Tamandua tetradactyla: one gene and its partners. The protein of the gene in region 2 interacts with the protein of the main gene of each other region in a biochemical or structural test. Links are inferred from orthologs where the notes say so. Each region holds a gene or a part of one and is shown on either strand. Other genes may lie near its edges.

Evidence for each region.
Region 1: the proteins of PSMD2 (region 2) and UBE3C form a complex in vitro, tested with the Homo sapiens proteins (2 studies listed by BioGRID). The link is inferred for Tamandua tetradactyla from reciprocal best matches to the Homo sapiens genes PSMD2 and UBE3C.
Region 3: the proteins of PSMD2 (region 2) and UBLCP1 form a complex in vitro, tested with the Homo sapiens proteins (3 studies listed by BioGRID). The link is inferred for Tamandua tetradactyla from reciprocal best matches to the Homo sapiens genes PSMD2 and UBLCP1.

The regions. Positions count from the first base shown.
Region 1 is NC_135327.1:203,136,983-203,144,674, forward strand, and holds the start of UBE3C (ubiquitin-protein ligase E3C), read left to right. Parts: upstream 1-4,691; 5' UTR 4,692-4,845; coding exon of another isoform or gene 4,846-4,857; 5' UTR 4,858-5,178; coding exon 5,179-5,244; intron 5,245-7,692. UniProt on the Homo sapiens protein: E3 ubiquitin-protein ligase that specifically catalyzes 'Lys-29'- and 'Lys-48'-linked polyubiquitin chains.
Region 2 is NC_135336.1:2,646,208-2,653,455, forward strand, and holds the start of PSMD2 (26S proteasome non-ATPase regulatory subunit 2), read left to right. Parts: upstream 1-4,155; 5' UTR 4,156-4,218; coding exon 4,219-4,353; intron 4,354-4,757; coding exon 4,758-4,814; intron 4,815-5,198; coding exon 5,199-5,363; intron 5,364-6,635; coding exon 6,636-6,757; intron 6,758-6,944; coding exon 6,945-7,169; intron 7,170-7,248. UniProt on the Homo sapiens protein: Component of the 26S proteasome, a multiprotein complex involved in the ATP-dependent degradation of ubiquitinated proteins.
Region 3 is NC_135346.1:40,523,469-40,530,858, forward strand, and holds the start of UBLCP1 (ubiquitin-like domain-containing CTD phosphatase 1), read left to right. Parts: upstream 1-4,350; 5' UTR 4,351-4,709; intron 4,710-7,390. UniProt on the Homo sapiens protein: Dephosphorylates 26S nuclear proteasomes, thereby decreasing their proteolytic activity. Recruited to the 19S regulatory particle of the 26S proteasome through its interaction with 19S component PSMD2/RPN1.

The DNA of each region.
Region 1 (7,692 bases), on a different chromosome or scaffold from region 2:
CAGAAAAGATCCCAGAGTTTGTCATGGGCTACCGTCCATCTCCTCAGATTTTTCCTTCTAGCTGCTCCAAAACATTGGAGGCTAGAAAGAATAAATATTTTTTTATCATCACAATCAACCTTTTTCCTTTTTTGTGAAAAGTAATGTATATACAAAAAAGCACCAAATTTCAAAGCACAGCATAACAGTTAGTTGTAGAACAGATTTCAGAGTTTGGTACGGGTTGCAATTCCACCATTTTAAGCTTTTACTTCTAGCTGCTCTAAGATACTGGAAACTAAAAGAAATATCAATATAATGATTCAGCAATCATACTCGTTTGTTAAACCCTACCTTCTCTGTGCAACTCCACTATTACCTTTGATCTTTCTATCCCACTCTTTAGGAGTATTTGGGCCATGCCCATTCTAATTTTTCATATTGGAAGGGGCCATCAATAATATGGGGTAGGGAGGTAGTGATCTAGTTGATGTACTGGAGAGGCTGGGCCCTCTAGGTTTGAGGACTTGTCTTGTCCAGGAACCCAACTGGAGGTTTTAGGCTTCTGGAAAATTACCCTAGTGCATGGGACCTTTGCAGAATCTTATATATTGTCCTAGGTGTTCTTTAAGATTGGCTGGAATGGTTTGGGTTGGGGGTTGGCAGATTATGATAGGTAGCAATGTCTAACTGAAGAGTATGTAACAATGACCTCCAGTGTAGCCTCTCCACTCTATTTGAACTCTCTCAGCCACTGATACCTTATTTGTTACACTTCTTTTCTCCCTTTTGGTCAGGATGGCATTGTCGATACCATGGCACCAGGGCCATATATAAAAGAGCCTCTTAAAATCCAGAAACAATAATTACCACTCCAGACTAAATGTGCTATAAGAGCTTACAATCCAGGACTCTGTTTTCTTATAAGCATTTTCTAAAGGAGACTAATTGCTCTTTTGTTTCTGGTTTATTTTGCTTCACCAAATGTCCCACAGGTTCATTCACAATGTTGCATGCCTCATGACTTTGTTTCTTTTTGTAGCAGCACAGTATTCCATCATATGTAAACACCATCATTGGCCAATCTACTTCTCAGGCAGTGCATCCTTCAGCCACCTGCATTCATTAGACATTATGTATACTGTCTGTGGTAGTTAGAGTTACTTGTCAACTTGGCCTGGTGAAAGTACCTAGTTCTGTTGCTGTGGACATGAGCTAATGATATGTGAACTCATCTGTTGCTCATTACATCTGCAGTCAGCTAAGAGGCATGCCTGCTGTAATGAATGATGTTTGATTTAATTGGCTGGTGCTTAAATGAGAGCACTCAATGTAACACAGCTCAAGCAGCTGAGCATACCTCATCTCGGCACTTGCTCAGCTCAGGCCTTTGGCAACGCAGAAAGAAATCACCCTGGGGAAAGCTGTTGGAACCCAGAGGCCTGGAGAGAAGGCCAGCAGAGATGACCCTGTGCCTTCTCACGTAAGAAAGAACCTTAGTTGAAAGTTAGCTGCCTTTCCTCTGAAGAACTAACAAAATAAATCCCCTTAAAAAGCCAATCTGCTCTTGTGTGTTGCATTCCGGCAATTAGCAAGCTAGAACACTGTCCAAAGCCCACAATCCATCAGCACTCTCAACTTTAGATAGCTTCATTGTTCCTAAGAGAAAGATTACCAATAAACACACCCTCACCAAATAGGAAATCTAAACCTCCCCTTAACTCTTGTCCCTTCCCGCAATAACTTCCCCTGGTGTTACTGTGGTATTGCTGATGTTTTCCTGTTAAACATCGCCCATAGCATGCAATAGCAGTAGCAGTTTTCCTCCTGTGCCCTGGACTTAAACACTCTTTGTACATGAATCATCACTTTGAAATAGTTCTTGCAAGAACTTATTATTTTTTTTATTGTTAATCAGTAGGACACGTAGGTCTATACAACCCCTTTCAATCATGTTCACCTTCAGTATGATAATTTTATAGATCCACTAGAGAACCATCTTCACGTCTATCTATTCCCTCACATTTGAGTTCAACCTCATTAGCTAACCATTCACCCATTTCTAGCTTCTATGCATCTCTAAGCCCCCTATAGTCTGTATTATAAGCCTCTGATTTTCCTTTACCATGGTCATAAACATATGAGTCACACAGTATCTATCCTTTTGTGTCTGGTTTATTCACTCAGCATTATGTCCTCAAAGTTCATCCATCTTGTCATGTGCTTCAGGACATCATTTCATCTTACTGCTGCATACTAGTCCATCATATGTGTACACCACATTTTGTTAAGTCACTCATATTTTTTTATTTTTAATTTTATTGAGAAATCTTCACACATTCTTTCTATACATAGTGCAACAATCTATGGCTTACAATATCATCACACAGTTGTGTATTCAACACCCTGATAATTTTTTAGAACATTGCATAACTACAGAAAAAAAATAAAAAGAAAATACTCATACATACCATACACCTTACCCCTCCCTCTCATTGACCACCAGTGTTTCCATCTACCCAATTTATTTTATGCTTTGTCTGCCCTATTATTTATTTATTTACATCCATACTTTTACCCATCTGTCCATACCCTGGATATAAGAATCAGACACAAGGTTTTCACAATCACACAGTCACATTGTAAATGTTATATCTTTATAAAATCCACTCGACTGTTGATGGGCATTTGGATTGTTTCCATCTCTTGGCAATTGTGAATAATGCTGTGTGCAAATGTGTGTTTGTGCCACTTTCAGCTCTTCTGGGTATATACTGAGTAGTGCTATTGCCTGGTCATAGTGCAACTTGATATTTAGTTGCCTAAGGAACCACCAAACTGTCTTCCACAGCGCCTGTACCATTATGCATTCCTGCCAGCAGTGGATAAGTGTCCCAATTTCTCCACATTCTCTCCAACATCTGTAGTTTCCTGTTTGTTTAACAGCTGCCATTCTTATAGGTGTGAGGTGGTATCTCATTGTAGTCTTGATCTGCTTTTTTCTTATAGCTAACGAAATGAACATCTCTTCACATGCTTTTGAGCCATCTATATTTGCTCTTCAGAAAAATGCCTATTCATTTCTTTAGCCTATTTTATAATTGGGTTGTTTGTTCTTTTGTTTTTGAGTTAGTGGTGGCATTTTGAGTGATTTCTATAGTCTTCATTGTACTTATCTTCATGCCTGATTTTTCTATGAACATGCATTACTAGTATAATACATTTAACCCCCAAGGTTATTTTAAAAGTTTCTTAGTTTCAACTGGAGCACCTGATGTTTACTATTACTAAGCGCTTTGATTGTTATTTCTGTGATAACTTTTTAGGGAAGTTGATACATTTTTATTGCATTTTGTAAACTACTAGACTACCTGAATCCGCCTTATATTCAAATAATGGATTCAGTTCAAACTAGTTTGAAATAAACTGATAACTGAGATTTTCTGTTTTTTTTCATTGAAGTTCAGGGTTCATATAACTTTAACAGAAACCCTAAACCCTACCCTGTCTTTAAGATTGTATGAGAATCAACAGGAAAATGCATTAATTCACTTACTCATACATTCAACAAATATTTTTTGAGCATCTACTACACTGCAAGTAGGCACAAGATTTAGGAATTAAAACTTTATTGCATATACAACTTTTTAATTATAATAGCCATGTGATTATTATTAGTTATTCTAATTAACACACTAGATACCCACTTGAGTTCACTTCAAAAAGGAGACCTATCTTTGGAAAACCCTCATAATATTCCAAGTGCTGAGTGACATTGACAGTCTGAGGATGCAGCTTTTGCTTCAGCACAACTGGATGAAAAAGAAAAATTAAATGCCTTCTACTGATAAAGCACAGTGTACTTAAAAACAATTTTTTTTTAAACATGGGCAGGCACCAGGAACCGAACCCGTGTCTCTGGAACGGCAGGCGAGAACTCCGCCACTGAGCCACCATCGCATCACCCTAAACTTTTTAAAAGGACATTTGGGGATAATTTCATCCACACAAAGGTCTAGGTGGACAGCAGAGATATTACTGCCCTCATTTTATGGAGAGTAAATGTAAAAGCAAAGACGTGACATGGTTGGTAAGTGGCAGAGCTGGGACCGAAATCGAGGCCCAAGGTTGCCCTTTTCACTAGACTAGTTCACCTCTGTGTGTCTAAATATTCTAATAATTAATAAGAGAATCGTGCTGTTTATTAGAATATTTAATTAAAAAGAGTATTAGATTATCTTCATCTCAAATTAAGTTTGGCATCATATTGATCGCTATGAATCCACTTCCCAGAAAAATGCACAAAATTCCGCACACAATTGCAGAGTTTCAGGAAGCCACTGACTCTCATCCACTCATTCTTGTCCTTGGAGCCCTGTTTTGGAGGGCAGAGTAGGCTCCAAGTTCTTCAGCGTAGAGCTCGTTGAATACAACTTCAATCAGACACTCCAAGATGCGGTGCAAATCCGAGAAGAGATCTGCATGCCCTAGAAGGTGAGAAATGCAGTGGCATCTCTCCTACCTCCTACGGCCGAGTAAGGTGAAATGAGCCTGGGAGGTCACCCGGGTAAGATTCCCAGCCTGCAGGCACGTCTCGCGAGGGCGCGCACGCTTAGGGCGGGGCTCCGGCAGAGGCGCGGCCCCGGCAGGCCATCCCTTAGGCCTGTGCACCGAGAGGATCGCCGGAGTCATCGATGGCGGGGGCGCGCTCACTCGCTCGCCCGGGCGCGGGACCGCGGACGGGAACTGCAGTCGGCGGCCATCTTCTTTCCTAAGACGGCTGCTTCCTAGTGCAAGTGCGGGAGTCACTTGCCATTTTTCCGGGCGCCCCTTGGCCTCGGCGGCGAACAGTGGGGGAGACTTTGAATGAGGGGGGAGGTGAGGAAGAGCCGCATCCTCCAGTGTCATCGTCCCCGTCCTTATAGTCTCCTCGGCCGCCCCCTACTCATCCCAGAGGGCAGAGGCTGGGAGGGCAGAGCCACCGTGGGAAGGGAGGTTTCAGGCACGGGATCGTTTCTCCTCCAGCAGCAGCCGCGGCAGCCGACGTCGTCCTGTTCAGTGCCCGGGGCTAGGGCGGCGGTGTCACGCTCCCTGCGCCTCTCCTCCCCCCCCCACCCCCCGCGGGATCCTTTCCGCCCCTCCCCGGTGGGCTCCTGGCTGTATTTAGGGATCTCCTCCTAGATGGGATAAGCTGTAAAGATGTTTAGTTTTGAAGGGGATTTCAAAACCAGGCCCAAGGTGTCCCTTGGAGGAGCAAGTAGGAAGGTAAGAGACCAGCCTTTTTGTATAATGTATACATATAGTATATATGTTCTGAAAAATCTTCCGAGGAAGGAAGCACATCTTTTTTGTTAGCAGAGTCAGCTTTCTGGGCGCTTTGGTCTTCGGAATCGTGTTTTGGCAGGTGGGGTGTTCCTAGAATAAGGCTATTTCCAATCGATGCGCTCTCCCACCGCATACGCGAACACCAGGGACTCGCGCCCCACCCAGAGGGTGGTTGTAGCCGACAATTTGGGGCAAAATGTTTGCGACCCCCTGGGTCCTCGGGGCGGTGAAGCTTGAATTGTTGGTGTGGAGGAAGAGCTCTTTTCTTTCGCTTCTAAGTTTTAAGTCCGACCTTAAAAGTCGGCATCTAGCAAATCGAGGCAACCGCTAGCGTGCTGCTGTTTGAGAATGCTTTAAAATAAATAATTTCGAGGCGGCTCTGCTGGAATTCCTATTTTGGGTAGCGCTGGGACAGTGAGACATTATAAAAAACTAGATGGGAGAAATGACCGAAAAGGTTTCCAGTAGCAGCGCGATTGGTAAGAAGTCACTTCCTGAAATTGGCCAGTAATGGTTTCACTTTGGTCATCATAGGCAAAGAGCTGTTTACATCTCTTAATGAGGCGAAACTGGTAGGGTACATCAATAAGGATACGGAAAGAGCTTGGTAGAATTTTACACGTGTGTGTGGGGGGGTGTTTTAGACAGATCTTGAAAGAAGGGCTAGTGAAGGAAAGGTCTTGTATGTTAGAATCACCAGTAATTTCTGTTCATACTAAAGATGAAGTTATTCTTTTCTTCTTGCGGTAGGGTCAAGGAGCAGAATCTTTCTTTTCAGAAATGAACTTTATCTCATTTGCCACCAAATAGTGATTGCTTTTGAAATATTGCCCAAAGAATATTTTCTGTTGTAGATAGTAAATAGCTAATATATATTTTAAGATCAGTACTCCCTAAAATTAAGGCAGAACCCCTCATAATTAGCCACTAGTTTGACTGACAGAATATTGAGCATTATTCTTTACCAGGCTTCATGGTACATATTTCTTGAGAGACTTTAGGACTTTTTCCTATTTGACTGGTCATGTAATTGCTCTTATGATAACTGTTTAGCATGAGGGTAGACAAAATGATTACTCTGCTGTCCTCCCTTTCTGGAATTTCTAGCTAACCTCCTGTGATGAGTGGTATCTGTTGATTCATTGGAATTGTTAATAAATACTTTAGCATTGGTGTTGACATTGCTTCAGTCTTTTGTTCTCCAAACTTCTCCACTGTTCTGACTCATGAATCCCTCTTCTGCCTCTGTTTCAGTTTTACCAGATAAAACTTAAAATGTGGTCCTACAGATGGAGTGTTTAAAGAGTTTAATTGAATCCATTTAAGCTGCCTGTTTTCTAAAGAATTTTAAGTGTTCTTTAAAATGCATTTGCTTATTATAACTTGAGTCTAATAAATACAACTGTGAGTGATGATCAAGTCCACATAGGAACATACTTTTAAAAAAATGTGTACTATGAGGATGTATGTGTGATGTTGATTTCTGGGGGGTAGAGGAAGGAAACCGTGGGAGGGAGTTGGGAGGGAAATGTGCTGATCATTTTCAGGCTTTGAGCTTTTGTATGATAGGATTGGGATCTTCAAATGTGATCCACCGTTGTGCCTCTTAGCCAAACCAGAAAGATAGAATTGGAAAGGTGTGGAAAGTAGAGGTGGTGGTAAGGGGGTATTGTGCCGGTGGCAGGGTTTGTGGGTAGGAGTGACTGAGATTGACATAAAATCCAAGAATTTTTGTACTTGGAAGGGACTTTAGAGAACTTCAGGGCCAAATCTCCTAGTTTTACAAGTTTGGCCCATGAAATACCAAGAAAATTGAGTAATTGCACATTCATACAGCAAGTTAGTGGCAGTTTACCAATTTAGAATCCATGTCACTTCATTTGTGTAGACCTTGTGACTTCTATTACAGACAGAATTGCCTCCAGCATTCCCTAATACTGATGTTGATCCTTTTTCACCAAGTAATTCTGAGCAGAGCAGTTGTTTGTTGATCAGTATTTCAAGGGGAGATTAAACATTTGCTTTTTAATTGTGCAAAGGAAACATTTTTTCTTTTACTTTTTATTGAGATATAAACTTACATATATAAACTCAATAGGCAGATATTAATTATACAAATCTTAGGTTTCCTAGGGGAAGAGTCTGATGAGATTCTTGTGTGAGTGGATGTTGAAGGAGGAAAAGGGAGTGAGGGAAGCAGGATAGGGCTGGAGAAAAGCTAAGACTGTATCTTCTCAGCTGCAGTCTAACTTGAGCCTGATTCCACGTGGCATGGCTGGTATCCCATGTTCTCTTTTGAGGCTAGAGGGTGGTGGCCATTTTGTACTCCCTTATCACTTAGTCATTGTCTCCAGTCATTGCGCCCCTGTGAGAATAGGTAGAGGGTGG
Region 2 (7,248 bases):
GTGACAGATGTAACCTTCACCCTCAGCAGCCTTGACAGTCTGGCAAGTACGTATCTGTGATAAGCTCCAGTGTGTCGAGGCAGAAGAAGTAAAGGATGATGCTCCTGGGTAGACACGAGAGCAATTATTGGTGAAGTTCTATACCATATCCTGTGCTGGCCCACTGGGAAGTTTGACTAATTCCCAAGCACAATAAGGTAACATAGACCAAACAGTGTGATTTCATGCTTGGGAGCACTATGGAAATATCAGACTGGAAGAGAGTCGCCCCCCCCCCCCCCCCCCCCATAAAATAAGCACAGTTTCAATGATGACTCACAAGTGGAGAATCCTGAAAACAATTTCCCAGTGCCCAGCTCTAAGCTCCAAAGAGAGCTACCAGTAGGCTACTATTATTATACACAAAGATGATCTGAAGATGAATACCAAACCATTCATTCATTCATTTAACAAATATTTGGCATTAGTTTCGGTGCTGGGGACACAAAGATAAATAAGACACAGTGCCTGTCCTGCAGGAGCTCAGGCTAGGCTGGGAGAGGTATGTACCAAGCATGGTGGAATAATAGAGAGGAAATGACTAACTTTGTCTGGTAAGGCCAGATGACATCTAGATAGATGGCATTGTGCTGAAGTTTAAAGAATAGGAGAGCTGGCTAGCTGAAAACAACAAAGGGCATTTCACACAGAAGGAACAGCAACATGAAAAAACTGATCAGCTTGAACAGGCAGTGCATGCCCAAAGACGGTAAAATGTTTGGCATGATCAGAGGTGGGTGGGTGAAAGGGGCATGGTAAGAGATAAGCATTCAGAGAAGTGTAGTACTTATGGCAGGTATGAAAAAGGGGGGATTGCAGAATCTGCTGTTAGTCATGGAAATTAATATAAGGGCCACAATGCAATCTGGTTGTTTGAATAATATAACAAAGAAAGCAGCAACCCAGTAGAAACAGCGAAATGCTGTGCCCTGCCAGGAGCATTTCTGGTGTGATGTGGCTACGACTTAGTTAAATGGTTCTCAGATATGAGTAGAGCTATCCAAAAGATGTGTAACTGTACAACTGAGGCCATGAATTTGGGGGACGCATGGAAGGCTTGTGGATGCAATTTAAAAGAAAGCAGTAGGAAGGGGCCAGTGATGGGCTGGCTCATGATTGGAGGACAGCAGTTTGGCCAGAAGGCTGGGAGTTTGGCAGAAATGCAGCTTAAAGCAGGACCTCAATGGGAAGCGAGAGAAGACCTACACGTATCATGGAGCCCTGAAAATAACTGTCAAGCATTTGCATTTGGCTAGAGAAGCTAGGGGATTGAGTGCTTGGAGGTGGGGAGCAGGGGACAAGAACATTTACCCCAGCCCTACAGATTTGAGGATGTTGCAAAATAAAATGACAACTGTCTCATTCCTGAATGTCAGAAACCCAGAAAGGCACTTTGTATACATTGTATCATTTCATTCTCATAGCAACCTATGAGGAAGATAGTTTATTATCCATGTTTACAGAGGCAGAAACCAGGTAGAGAAATGTTAGGTATCTTACCTGTTTTACAACTGGTTAATGGTGGAATTTGGTTTTAGACACCAAGTGCAACTGTCTCTAAAGCTTTTGTTCTCCCAGTCGTCCCCCCTGCCTTTTTTTTTTTAATTTTGAAACATTCCAAACCTACAGAAAAGTTAAAACATGGTAAAAAGAACATTCATATACTCTTTATACAGATTCACTGACTGTTAACAGCCTGTGCCTTTTTAAAATTTTTATTAATAAAACCAGTCAACTTACAATATGAACATTCTTTATCACATAGTTGTGTATTTATCATAATTATCATTTCTTAGAACATTTGCATCAATTCAGAAAAAATAAAAAGAAAACAGAAAAAAAATTCATACATACCATACCCCTTACCCCTCCCTTTCATTATCACTAGCATTTCAATCTACTAAATTTAACATTTGTTCCCCCTATTATTTGTTTATTTTTAATCCATATGTTTTACTCATCTGTCCATAAGGTAGATAAAAGAAGCATCAGACACAAGGTTTTCACAATCACACAGTCACACTGCAAAAGCTACAGCATTATACAATCATCTTCAAGAAACATGGCTACTGGATCACAGCTCTACATTTTCAGGGAGTTCCCTCCAACCTCTCCGTTATGCCTTAACTAAAAAGGTGGTATCTATCTAATGTGTAAGAATAATCTCCAGGATAACCTCTCAACTCTATTTGGAAACTCTCAGCCATTGACACTTTATTTTGTCTCATTTCTCTCTTCCCCCTTTTGGTCAAGAAGTTTTTCTCAATCCCTTGCGCTGAGTCCCAGCTCATTCTAGGATTTCTGTCCCACGTTGCCAGGAAGGTCCACATCCCTGGGAGTCATATCTCATGTAGAGGAGGGAGGGCAGTGAGTTTGCTTGCGTTGGCTGAGAAAGAGAGAGGCCACATCTGAGCAACAAGAGGTTCTCTTAGGCCTAATTTTAAGTACAGCCTGTGCTTTTTGACAGATCACTCCATCTTCTCTAAGATACTGGTTGGGATATGACTGGTTTATAGGAAAAATTTAAAAACCAACAGAAGGAAACCTTGGAAAAAGATGTGGGAGAATCCCTCTACATAAAAATGTGTGGATATCCTGAAGACAGAGACGGAATAAGCAGAACAGCTATAAACTACCCAACTTCTGTGAACAGAGCAATGCTGCGGGAGCCACTGGCAATGGAAATGGAAGAACATTCCTAGAATCCAAGCACCGAGTGGAAAAGAACAATGGGTTTTTCCAGTGGGCTTCAGACCTTTACATTTATAACTATACATTCATTCATTCAGTGCTAACTATGCCGGGCTAGATGTCTTCTTACAGACATTTTCTGCATTCTTTAATGCATCAGAACCCATAAGTCTTGAGGCCAAAATGTAAGTGTTCCTACTAGATGAAGGGGACACACACACACACACACACACGAGGCCCAGGCCAAAGAAGACTCTTTATCGTTTGTCTAGAACTATTAAGGAACTAAAACGCTGCAAGATGGAGGTTCAGATCCTGATTCTACTACTTTCTTTGTGATGTCTGAGTTATTTCATTTCTGAGCCTTACTTTCCTCTGCAAAGAGGACACACCTATATCAATTTCAAAGGATTGTCAGAGGCGGGGTGCAAGGGTTGCTCAGTGGTTGAATTCTCACTTTCCATGCGGGAGAGCAGGGCTGGATTCCCAGCCCATGCACTTCCACCCACGCACCCCTGCCCCCCCAAAAAAGATTGCGAGACTAACTACCTACACGTGCTCATTTGAAAGCCGTCCAGACAAGAGTGTCGGTCACACCCGTCCTAACTCAACAGGGAGGAGGCAGGCCAAAAGGCAGCCTGAGAGCAAAGACTGCCTATTCCGCTTTTAGCTCCAGTATTAACGCTGGAATATAGAACTTTATTTTTTATTAAGTTCCACTCCACCTAGTTTCCCAAAGCATTTAAACTGGCAGCTACATCGTCAAGGTACTAGTAGTGCACTTCCTTCATCTGGGGAAGGGAGAGGAAAAGGAGGGAGATGTTACAGGTTAAGATTCCACAGTAGTGTCGGGCTAGATATATATTGCGCAGACCTTATGTGCATGACAATCAAGCGCCCCGGATTTCAAGAGTCTTGTCCGTGTGCGGCACCACGCAGCCAGCCGTGGTTTCACTATAGTTACCAGTCACATTGTTATGAGGAAATGTGGGCAAAGGAAGCTCGGCATCTCAGCTTGCAGCTCATTCGGCGACAGCAGCAAAGCGCACCCAAACTCCAGCGCACAGTCCTACCACGCCGGGGAACTCGAGACGGCGCCAGGACTGCTTCCCGGACGCGCGGGGAGCTGGGAAAGGTCGTTTCCACGTAGCCTCTGCGCCCGGGGCTCTCAGGCGTAGGGAGGAGCTGCGAACCGACGCGCCCCCGATGAGCCGGGGGCTTCCCGTCGCAGGCAGGCACCCGGGCGGTGTCTGTGACGTTTCCCAGCAGCCTCCGCGCTCGGGGGTGCTGGGAAAGGTCGTTTCCCAGCAGCCTCCGCGCTCGGTGCTCTCAGGCGGGGGGGGGGGGGGGCGGGCCAACGCCAGCTGCCGGCTCGCCGGGCGTTTCCGGTCGCAGGCGGGCGCCGTGCGCGACGAGCGCGAGGCCGCCTGGGAAACGCGGCGGTCTGGGTGGGTGCGCGCGCAAGTGGCGCGCTCCGGCTGCTGAGCGATGGAGGACGGAGGCCGTGACAAGTTGCCGGTGCAGTCCCAGCAGCCCCCAGCCACAGCCCCGGGTGGCGCGGATGAGAAGCCGAGCGGCAAGGAGCGGCGGGATGCTGGGGAAAAGGACAAAGAGCAGGAACTGGTGAGGCACGGCCCGGGGAGCCAGCGGACAAGGCCGCGGGCTGAGTCACGGCGGCTCCGCAGGCCTCCGTCCCGATTCCCAACGGCCCCGCTGGGGCTCCCGGCACCCTACCTCTCAGCCCCTTCTGCACGCCGCGCTGGTACCTCCGTACTTCCCACCAGCGCTCACGACCGCCTCGCGAGAAAGGGTCGACATTGTCACCCACCTTCAAAGAACGGCATTCAGGCAGAGCCTGGCCCAGAACCAGGCCCCCTTCCCAGCACGGCTTCCCATTCCCACTCTGTTTCCTTGTCCCCCTGGTTCCTCCTAAAGAGGCAGGCTCGCTCCACCAGCCCCAGGGTGAATATGAGGAGGATGTGTTTGAGATTCCTTGTCTTAATGAGCTTCTTCCCTCAATCCTCCAGTCTGAGGAGGACAGACAACTACAGGATGAACTGGAGATGCTCGTGGAACGACTAGGGGTGAGTCATGATGTTAACCTGAGCGGATGCATATTTGGATCTTTCCCACTTGTTTGCCTTATTCCATTTTTAGACAAGGAACCCTGTGTGAAGTATGGAGAAAGAGGGACTGTATTTTAGGGTCAGTGTTATGATTTTATGAGGGAGTAGAGTTGCAAAGGATATTGAAAGAATTTGTAGCTTTCTCTTATGGGAGAAGCAGAGTTCTTGAACTCTACCTGGCGTCAGTTTTTTGGGGGCCAGTCAGTGTGCAGGGAGTTGGGGAATCATAGATAAATGAGACACAGTTACTTACCTAGCGGAATCAGGGTTTTAACACCTCTGTATTATGAGTTGGCAGGATTACGACACCTTTTTGTCTGAATCCTAACATCTTCTGATCAGGAAAAGGACACATCGCTGTACCGACCAGCCCTGGAGGAACTGCGGAGGCAGATTCGTTCTTCTACAACTTCCATGACTTCAGTACCCAAACCTCTCAAATTTCTTCGACCACACTATGGCAAACTGAAGGAAATCTATGAAAACATGGCCCCAGGAGAGAATAAGGTATTTCAGAAATTGGTAGAAGCTCTAGTTTAGGAAGTTCTTCTCATTCAGGCCATTGGTCTTATGGTGAGTTCTTGGAAGCCGGATAGACCTGAGACCTGAGCTGGTTGAATAGAGCTCATCACAGTAAAAATACCCACATGAGAACTGAAAGAATTAACTTCTCAGTAAACGTTGTTTCTGTCCTTCATGTTGGACCTTTAGCGTGATCTTTTTTTTTTTAACAGCAACAACAAAAAACAGCTTTATTGAAATAGGTTACATTTCATCCATTTGCAGTACAATTCAATGCTTTCCACTATGTTGATAGATATATGCAGCTATCACCAAAGTCAATTTTGTAACATTTTCATCATCCCCAAAAGAAACCCCATATGCTTTAACAGTTAGCCCCTTATTCTCCATCCCCTTCCCCTCCAGATTTAGGCATCTGCTAATCTACTTTCTGTCTCTGTAGATTTACCTAATCTGGACATTTTGTATGAATGGAATCACATAACATGTGGTCTTTTTGTGATTGACTTCTTTCACTTAGCATGTTTTCAGGGTTCATCTATGTTGTAGCATGTATCTGCACTTCAGTCCTTTTTGTGATTGACTTCTTTCACTTAGCATGTTTTCAGGGTTCATCTATGTTGTAGCGTGTATCTGCACTTCAGTCCTTTTTGTGATTGAATAATGTTCCCTTGTATGGCTATACCACATTTTGTTTATCCATCTGTCGGCTGATGAACGTTTGGGTTGTTTCCACCTTTTGCTATTTGCTGCTGTAAACATTAATGTACAAGTTTCTGTGTGGACATGTTTTCATTTCTCTTGTTCTATCTCAAAAATATGCTCCTCCTAGTTGAGTCACTTCTCCATCTGTTGGTACAGCCTTAGTTTCCTGAACCACTGCAGCAGCCTCCCAACTGGCCTTGCCTTTGTCCTTGACCTCCTACATAGTCTTTTCTTCATACTACTATTATAGCTATCTTCTAGATTGTGTGTCTCTTCTGCTTAAAACTTTCTAAAAGCTTACTATTACAATGAGGATAAAATCCAGAGTTTCTTTCTCCACTCCCTTTGGTTTACCACCTTTCAGTCAAGTTGGTTTAAAAGGGTTATTGTGAAGCTTAGCTTAGATAACATAAGTAAGTTTCTAGCGCAGAGTCTGGTATATGGTTCACACTTAATTTGGGGAACAAGTGACATTGATCTTTATTCCATAATGTCAGGCTCCCCTTAATCTGGACTGTAGGATTTGACTTCAAAGGTCTGTTCTTTTTATAGCGTTTTGCAGCTGACATTATCTCTGTTTTGGCCATGACCATGAGTGGGGAGCGTGAGTGCCTCAAGTATCGGCTGGTGGGCTCCCAGGAGGAATTGGCATCATGGGGTCATGAGTACGTCAGGTAAGGCCTTTCTTCTTGGGAATCTGAGGGGGAAGTCTGAAGTATAATTCTGACATCTGGCTTGGATTACTTACCACCTGTCTTAGTGTAGCAGTGTATCGAGTTTCTCAGAAACTGAATTCCTTGACCTATAGGGAAGAGCTTCCTGTGAAGTTGGGTTCCCTTAATGGTCTGGGCCTATCCATAGGCATCTGGCAGGAGAAGTGGCTAAGGAGTGGCAGGAGCTGGATGAGGCGGAGAAGGCACAGCGGGAGCCACTGCTGACCCTGGTGAAGGAGATCGTCCCCTACAATATGGCCCACAATGCAGAGCATGAAGCTTGTGACCTGCTCATGGAAATTGAGCAGGTAGATATGCTGGAGAAGGACATTGACGAGAATGCATATGCAAAGGTCTGCCTGTATCTCACCAGGTGAGTGAACACTGTAGGGTTGAGTTTCAGGCCTGTCTTCTCAGCATGCCTCCCTCGATTGTGCCCCTCTGTTCTCCCA
Region 3 (7,390 bases), on a different chromosome or scaffold from region 2:
AGTGGTAGTGACACAAATCTACAGTGTAAAAATGGCATAGAACTACACACACATGCACATCATACCAAAATCAGTTCCTTCATTTGATACTGTACTATAGTTATATAAGATGTAATCAATGGGAAAAAGTGGGTAAAGGGTACAGAGGGGAAACCCTCCTGTGAGTCTAAAATTATTTTAAAATAAAGTTTTAAGAAAACCCCATATAAACTATATATACATATAAAGCATAGAAAAAATTTTCAAGGATAAAAGCTATCAGTAGTAAGGATATGAGTATATTATTTCAATTCCTCAAAAATAATACTTCATGGATTTCTTATATAATTCAAAAGTAAAAAAGTAGTGCGAAATCATTGTAAAAACTCAAATATAGAAGATATAAAGAAGGTAAAAATCACCTGTTAAATGATGCTATCCAGAGGTAAACTTCATTCCTTCAACAAATATTTATTGAAGGTGTCCTGTGATGACATCAACTATGGGCATCTCGGTATATGTGATTTCAGACCTTTTCTATGTATCCAATCATATCCACATTTGTAAAGGAATAATTAATTAACTTTATGTACTATTATATAATTTGCTTTCATTATTTAAAAACATTTTTTTAATTCCCTTATTCATCACTTATTTATTACCTACCTTAGCCAGCCTCATATTCGGCTCTGAGATTAAAATCCTGACTTAATCAGATATGGGCAGTTTCCTCACAAAACTTACAGTATAATGGGGAACAGGGTAATTAAAGAATGAATCTCTCAAAGAAATACACAATTACAGATTACATCAAGTTTAGACAACTATAAACAATATTCTGAAATACTCAACTGTGCAAGGATAGGGTGACAGCTAGGGTGGGGAGATACCATGGCATGTTTATTATTGATGGGAATGAGCCAGTAAAGAGAAAGGAAGTAAAAAAGAACAAGAAAGGGGATACTGAATTCACAGAAAGGTTTGGAGGAGGATGTCAGAGCATAAGTATAGGGGTTGGATTCAAGTAGAAGCAAACTGCCTCAATTGTAACAGATGCAAAAGAAGCAAGGATGAGTACAGATATAGGTTGGTTTGTAGATTTAGAGGTTGAAGTTGAGGCAGTTACTATTTGAAGTCTTCTATTTTCTTAGCAAAACAGGGGGCAATGTTATCTGCTAGGAGCAAAAATGTAAACTAGAAGGTCTGAGGTATGAAGAGAGTGGAGGTTTTGAGTAGCCATTTTGGAAAAACAAGTGGGATAGAGAAAGGCAGTGAAATTGCCAAAGTGAGTTAAGGGCCTGAAGAGATCTGTTTTGCTGGGCACATTCTTTTCAACCATCCTCAGCTCCCTTACTGCAGGCAAGGCCAAAGCAAGAAAGGAGGTATTAAAGAGAGAAACTAAGTGCTATACTGAAGAGGGGGAGGTTTTGTCTTACAACTGGGAAGAGAGGGAAATGTTTATGAGGGAAATAGATCTGCTTTGCTCAAGGGTGGGCAGTGGCCAGAGGAAGAAAATGACCTTGGAAAGAAAAGGTTAAGAAAACCAGTCTGAGGGAAATAGAGATAAAACTGGGGTAGAAGTAGATTTCTGGCCCAGGTGCAAACATGTCCTTTTGTCTTCCTAACCAAACATAATCATTGTGATATTAGCAGATTATCGTCTGATTTTGTGATTAGTTCTATATAGTCTCTAGGACCTGACAATTTATCTAAACTTGAGGGATGATTTTCCAGGCATCTTTAGCTGCTGAGGAGGTATATGAATGAGGTATGGTGTATTTTCCTCCATGTATTAGAAGAGAGGCTCAAGGGAGCAACAAAAGCAAGGAAGCAGAAGCTTAATTTTCTTACAAGGGAGCAACAGAAGCAAGGAAGCAGAAGCTTAGTTTTCTTACTGGCAATTTCCAGTTCCTCTGAGTCTTTCCCTAGGTCCAGATTGCATTTATAACCAGTTTCACTAAGTGTCCAATTTCCTTGTTCAAACAAATACCTGGCAATCCACAGCAAATGTTTCCTTACTTAATGCTTTTAAAAAATTTTTAACTTTATTTTTATTTTGGGTCTATTTATTACAGAATTGGCATTACACTAATACAATCATTGCTAAATAGTAATAATATATTTATCCTATAATTGCACATAATTTTATTTACTGAAGGAATGTCTTTTACCCTCAAGATCCTCAATTTTCAGAATTGAAACATTTTAACTGAAACACTGAAAAGCTAAAGTTGCTGCAAGGCATAGGATTAAAACACCTAAAGATAGTTGGTTATATTGTCAAGAGTGCAGCTATGAAAAACTGGAGCTCAGGGGCCAGACTCCTTGGGTTCAAATCCTGCCTTCCCCACTGACAAGCAGTGTGACCCTGATTTCCCCATCTGTACAATGGAGGGATAAGCGTGCCTACGCCTCAGCAGGTATCAGACTATGGCTAAGAATGGTTTTTAGATTTTTAAAAACAAAGATGACTATGTGACCCACAAATCCTAAAATCTTTATTCTCTGGCCCTGCTGTAGAGTGGCTGTAAGGATTATGGCCAGTTCAGGTTGGCTGGTGCCTAGTTCCAAATAAGCACTCAATACATGTTAACAATTAATGTTTCCAAAAATCCACTGTCACATAGCCAAATTCTGCATTTTGAAAAGTGAACGTTTCCTCCTTCTTTTCAAAAACAATATAAAAAACTGCCAAGAACTACATCTTGATTATTATGGCCCTAAGACAAATTTAACAGATACTGGTAGTCCAATTTTACTTACTTGGAATATGCACTAAGGAAAATAAACACTTCCCCTTTATAGGAAAGGGCCTGAGATGGTAGAAAAAACCTGGAAACATGGATGCTTGACTCATTTTAATATGTTAAGAAAGATCAAAACATTTAAAAATTAGAACATGATTTAAGTAGATAAAATGTAAATCTGATTTAACAGTATTTGATGTTTTTCTCCATAAAACATACACAAAGTCTAAATGTACTTCAAAATGAAAATCTATTCAAGGCCCAGGTAGAAACAACATAAAGCTAGCTTTTGAAAACCTAATTAGATAGATGAATAATACCCTCAAATGAGACTCCTGGCAAAACTAGTTTGATTATTAGGTATACTAATTTCAGACACAATTGACGTCTCAACCGAGGCAATATTTCCCAAGGTATATCTTGAGACACTGGTCCTGCCAAGACGCTGTGTGTATGTTTTTTCAGGGGGTTCTAGGTTCTAGCAGTTAGGAAAACATGGCACACTTTATTCTTATCTTAGAAAGTCACAATGCACAACAGTATAACAAAGGTTTTGAAACATAAACAATGTTTTTTTTATTTTTTGAATGTTCAGCTAAATGGCAATGGATTTGAAGGAACTGAGACATGGGCATAAAATAACTTGAAGTCACCTGTTAGATATTTGTCCAAAATACTATACTACTCCTTCATCTCAGAGAAATACTACTCTTAAGCACTTGGCAACTCTACTAATGCCTAAAATATCAGATCCCTTGTAACATGGCTATTTTATTAGCTAAAAAATTCTTAGTGATGCTTTACCAAGTTTTAGTTGATCTCGTGATTAAGCTTCCCTAATCACAAGTGTAAAAATACAAAGTAGCCAAAACAATTACTTAGCAGACGAACAAAGCAAGGAAAAGAGATTGGGCTAAAGAAAGCCATGATTCATTCCGAACACAAGTCTCTCGTGTTTTGACAGTCTCTTTGGCCAGATTGCTAACGTGATTTTTGCACAAACTATATTACTTTAGGTTTCCTCTTCATTTCCTTTTTAAAACCTGTTTTATTTGGTGCCATATACACCAATCTAATGGAAAATAGTTTTTTTGTTTGTTTTGCTTAGCAGCAAGTGGTACACTTTGGGAATTTGCTTATGGACCTACTGGAGACTGCTCCGAATTTCCATTATAGTCTGAAGTTCTTTTGCCAGGGTCTCTAATTGGTTTTTCTTGAATTCAGAGAGAAGATGGAATGGAAACAGGGATAGGAGGGTGGAGATACAATACAATATTGTATTATAGTAATTCGAGCGCACCTCTCATATTGAATCTGCTTCTTTGACTCTGAGTCACTTAAGCTTGCCGGTTCCCTTGCCCCACGCTCTAGAGTTTCCCTTTGTAAAACTGGTAGAACCCAAAACACCTGAAATTACTAGTATTGGCGGGCCCTGAGGCCAGTGAGGGAACTTAAAGTCTCCAGTGCTCAAAAGTCACCTGTATCGTGTCACATTTGGAACACGATACAGCCAGCCACACGAGTCCTAGTCCGGCGTCCCACGAAGATCTCAGAACACCTGGAGAAGCCAACGGACCACGCCTGAAACGGCTCGAATTTCGGCGAAACAATACATAAAACGTCACTACCACCAAGCACCCGCCTCTCTCAGCCCCCGAAGAATAGCAGGCGCAGGCGCCGAGTCGGCGCGGTCCAACGGTCCCTCCGGTATTGCCGGCAGCTACACAGCGGTCACATCCTGGAAAAGTCTGGCTTCCTATTTATCGTCGTGGAGATCCCAGAAGCAGAAACTATCTTGGATTAGCACCCAAACAAAAACAAGGGAACCGCCCTTGCATTCCACGGTCCAGCGGTTTCTCTCTCCAACCACTAACTTCCGGTTCGTCTTAGCCGGTTCCGGTCCCCGTTCTTCACTTCCGGTCGCCTTCAATTCCGCTGCGGCCGGTTCCTGCGTCCTCTGCGGCCGATTCTGCCGCGCTCCAGGTGAGGGGACCGAGGTACCCCGGCGCGCTGCTCTTGAGGCGCTGTTGGGGCTGGGGAGCTACTCCTTTCGCTGTGTGGCCCCAGCTGTGGCGTGTCCCGGCAGACTGGGGTCCGATTCTGGGTGCCCCGGGCCGCGTTTGCTTTAGTCCGTCACCCAGACGGCTGGCACGGCCAGCTCGTCGTGGGGCTGCCGCCCTCGCATCCGGGCTTCTCGCTTGTGTCGGGGGCTTCCCGCCCTCCCATAGATTCTGTGTCACAAGACTTTATTTCTTTCACTTCTCGGGTTTCTCCATCTCTTCACCCTGTTGGAGGTATCCATGCTCTCTGTACTCCTGGGGTCTCTACCTGCCTTCTGACGCTTCCTCGTGCTCCTCCTCAGTTTGCACAACTCTTGCGACTGTACCACCCCGCAGTTGCTGCTTCTGTGCTCTCCTGGCCAGGAGTTGACAGTACTTTACAGTTAGCTTTTACTAGGCTTTTGGAAAAGGAGACTCCTTCCCGTCGTTTCCTAAGATGTTCCTTTTTCTGCTATTACGGTCAAATTTCTTCCTCTGCTACGTTCTATTTCTGTGATCTTGGGCATCTTATTTAACTTCCTTTTCAGTTTTCTGGTCTGTAAAATGAGAACAATGGTTGTTAATTTAGGATTCTGAAAATTAAGTTGTTTAGCATGCTCTCATTCTACCACCTCCATTCGTATAGCTCTTTACAGTTTATAAAGGGCTGTCAAACCTGTTATTTCAAGCCTCCCACTAGTTCTTGTCAAGTAAATATTAATATCCTCATCTTGGGGATGAGAAGAGGTAGGAATTGACTAGGCAAAGTCGTTACGTGTGACTTTGAAGAGGAACTGGAACGTAAACGGCTGTTTCTTGACTCTAGCTTTACCATAAAGATGTGCTCCCGTAAGAAGTAAGCCTGGGTGGTTTACTTATTTAAGTTTGGTTGCCCCCACCTTGCAAATCATTTTTTTTAAGTTTGTAAGTCTGATGTTCAAAATGACACAAAATACTAGAATAGTGAGGAAGAACGTTAAATGTGAAGACAACATAAAATGACATAACATTTGTCTTGTGCTGCTCCGTTGGTGTAAATGGTCCGACTATTGAAGAAATGAGGTCAGTGACTTTTTGAAAAAGGCATTTAAAAGGTTTGTTTTGTTATGATTGGTCCTTGCAATCAGTTACCGGTTTAAAATGTCCACTTGTGGTATAAATGATTTATAATATTTGTATACTGCTTAACCAAGCATATAGATTCCATGCCATCTGGCACCTTTTCTTTTATAATGCTGAGAAAACTGAAGAGCCTAGAGTCATATCTCTCAAACTTGAACATGCATCAGAATCATCTATAGGGCTTGTTAAAATACAAATTATAGGTCCTGTCCCCCCATCCCCAGTTATATTTTTAGCAAGTTCCCAGGTCACATCAATGCTCCTGGTCCACTTTTTTTTTTTTCTTTATGTGGGCAGGCACCGGGAATCGAACCCGGGTACTCGGGCTTGGCAGGCAAGCATTCTTACCTGCTGAGCCACCGTGGCCTGCCCACGTGGCCCACATTTTGAGAATTGCTGGCCTAGAGGTGAAATGACTTAGGTGCTCTTTAAACTCTGTTGTACTCATCGCACAATATGCTGTATTAGTGCTGCATTCCTAGCTCCTAGAAATTATCATTTTTATTCCTACCTCTTAAAAAAAAAAAAGTAAACCATATTCCACTCTGACTCAGAAGGTTCATATGGCTTGTTATTGAAGATCATAACATTTGCTAGAGCAGTGTATTCTGTGTATTCTGTGAAATGGAATACATTGCTCTAAATTACCACAATTCCTTTGAATTTCCATAGCAGATTTTAAACATAAGTGAGTTAATATAAATGAATTTGTGTGCCTTCTTCTAAAGGGACACGTTGAAGATAAATTGCCAAATATTTTTGCATATTGAGAGTCAAAATTTGCTCTTTTGCAAATGGTTATAATACGTGAAGAGTGCTTCATTAACTAAATTAAAGCATTTGGAAATGCCAATACTTCGAGATTAGAAAATCCATTTCTCCAACCTGAGAGAGAACAAGCTTATGGAAATTGGTAGAAAACTTTTTGGAGGAAGAGACCTCCATTGTATTGCTAAGAGGAGCAGTTGCTATATAATCTTTGTATGCTTAAATCTGTAGGACTGTGAGTTTTGTATTTACTAACCTTTGATGCCTTAATTCCTGTAGGTCCAATCCAAGAGAGATAGTTGTGGTGTGGGTGAAGAAACATGAGATTTAGTTAGAAGACCTGTTTCTTTTACTAGCTGTGTGCCCATGAGCAGATTACATAGCCTCTCTGAACTCATTTCTTTAATTGTAAAAGGGAAAACTTATCTCACAGATTTATTGAGAGGATTAAATGAGGTTGTGTAAAAGCTATGCAATTCATAAAATATGAAACAAATGATGGCTATTTACTGTTAACCACAGAACATAATTAGTTTTCTTTTAATTTTATTTTTTTAAATTTAACCAGAGTACTTTGTTTAAATATGCCTATGGTTAAGTTAAAATATCCATTGTTTGTGGTTCTAAGTGTATTGTTTGTTTTCTTAAATAAAAAAAAACAGCAAAAAAATTGAACCAGTATTTTATAGTGTTTACTATGTGCCAGTTACTATGTGATTTATAAATACCAATTAA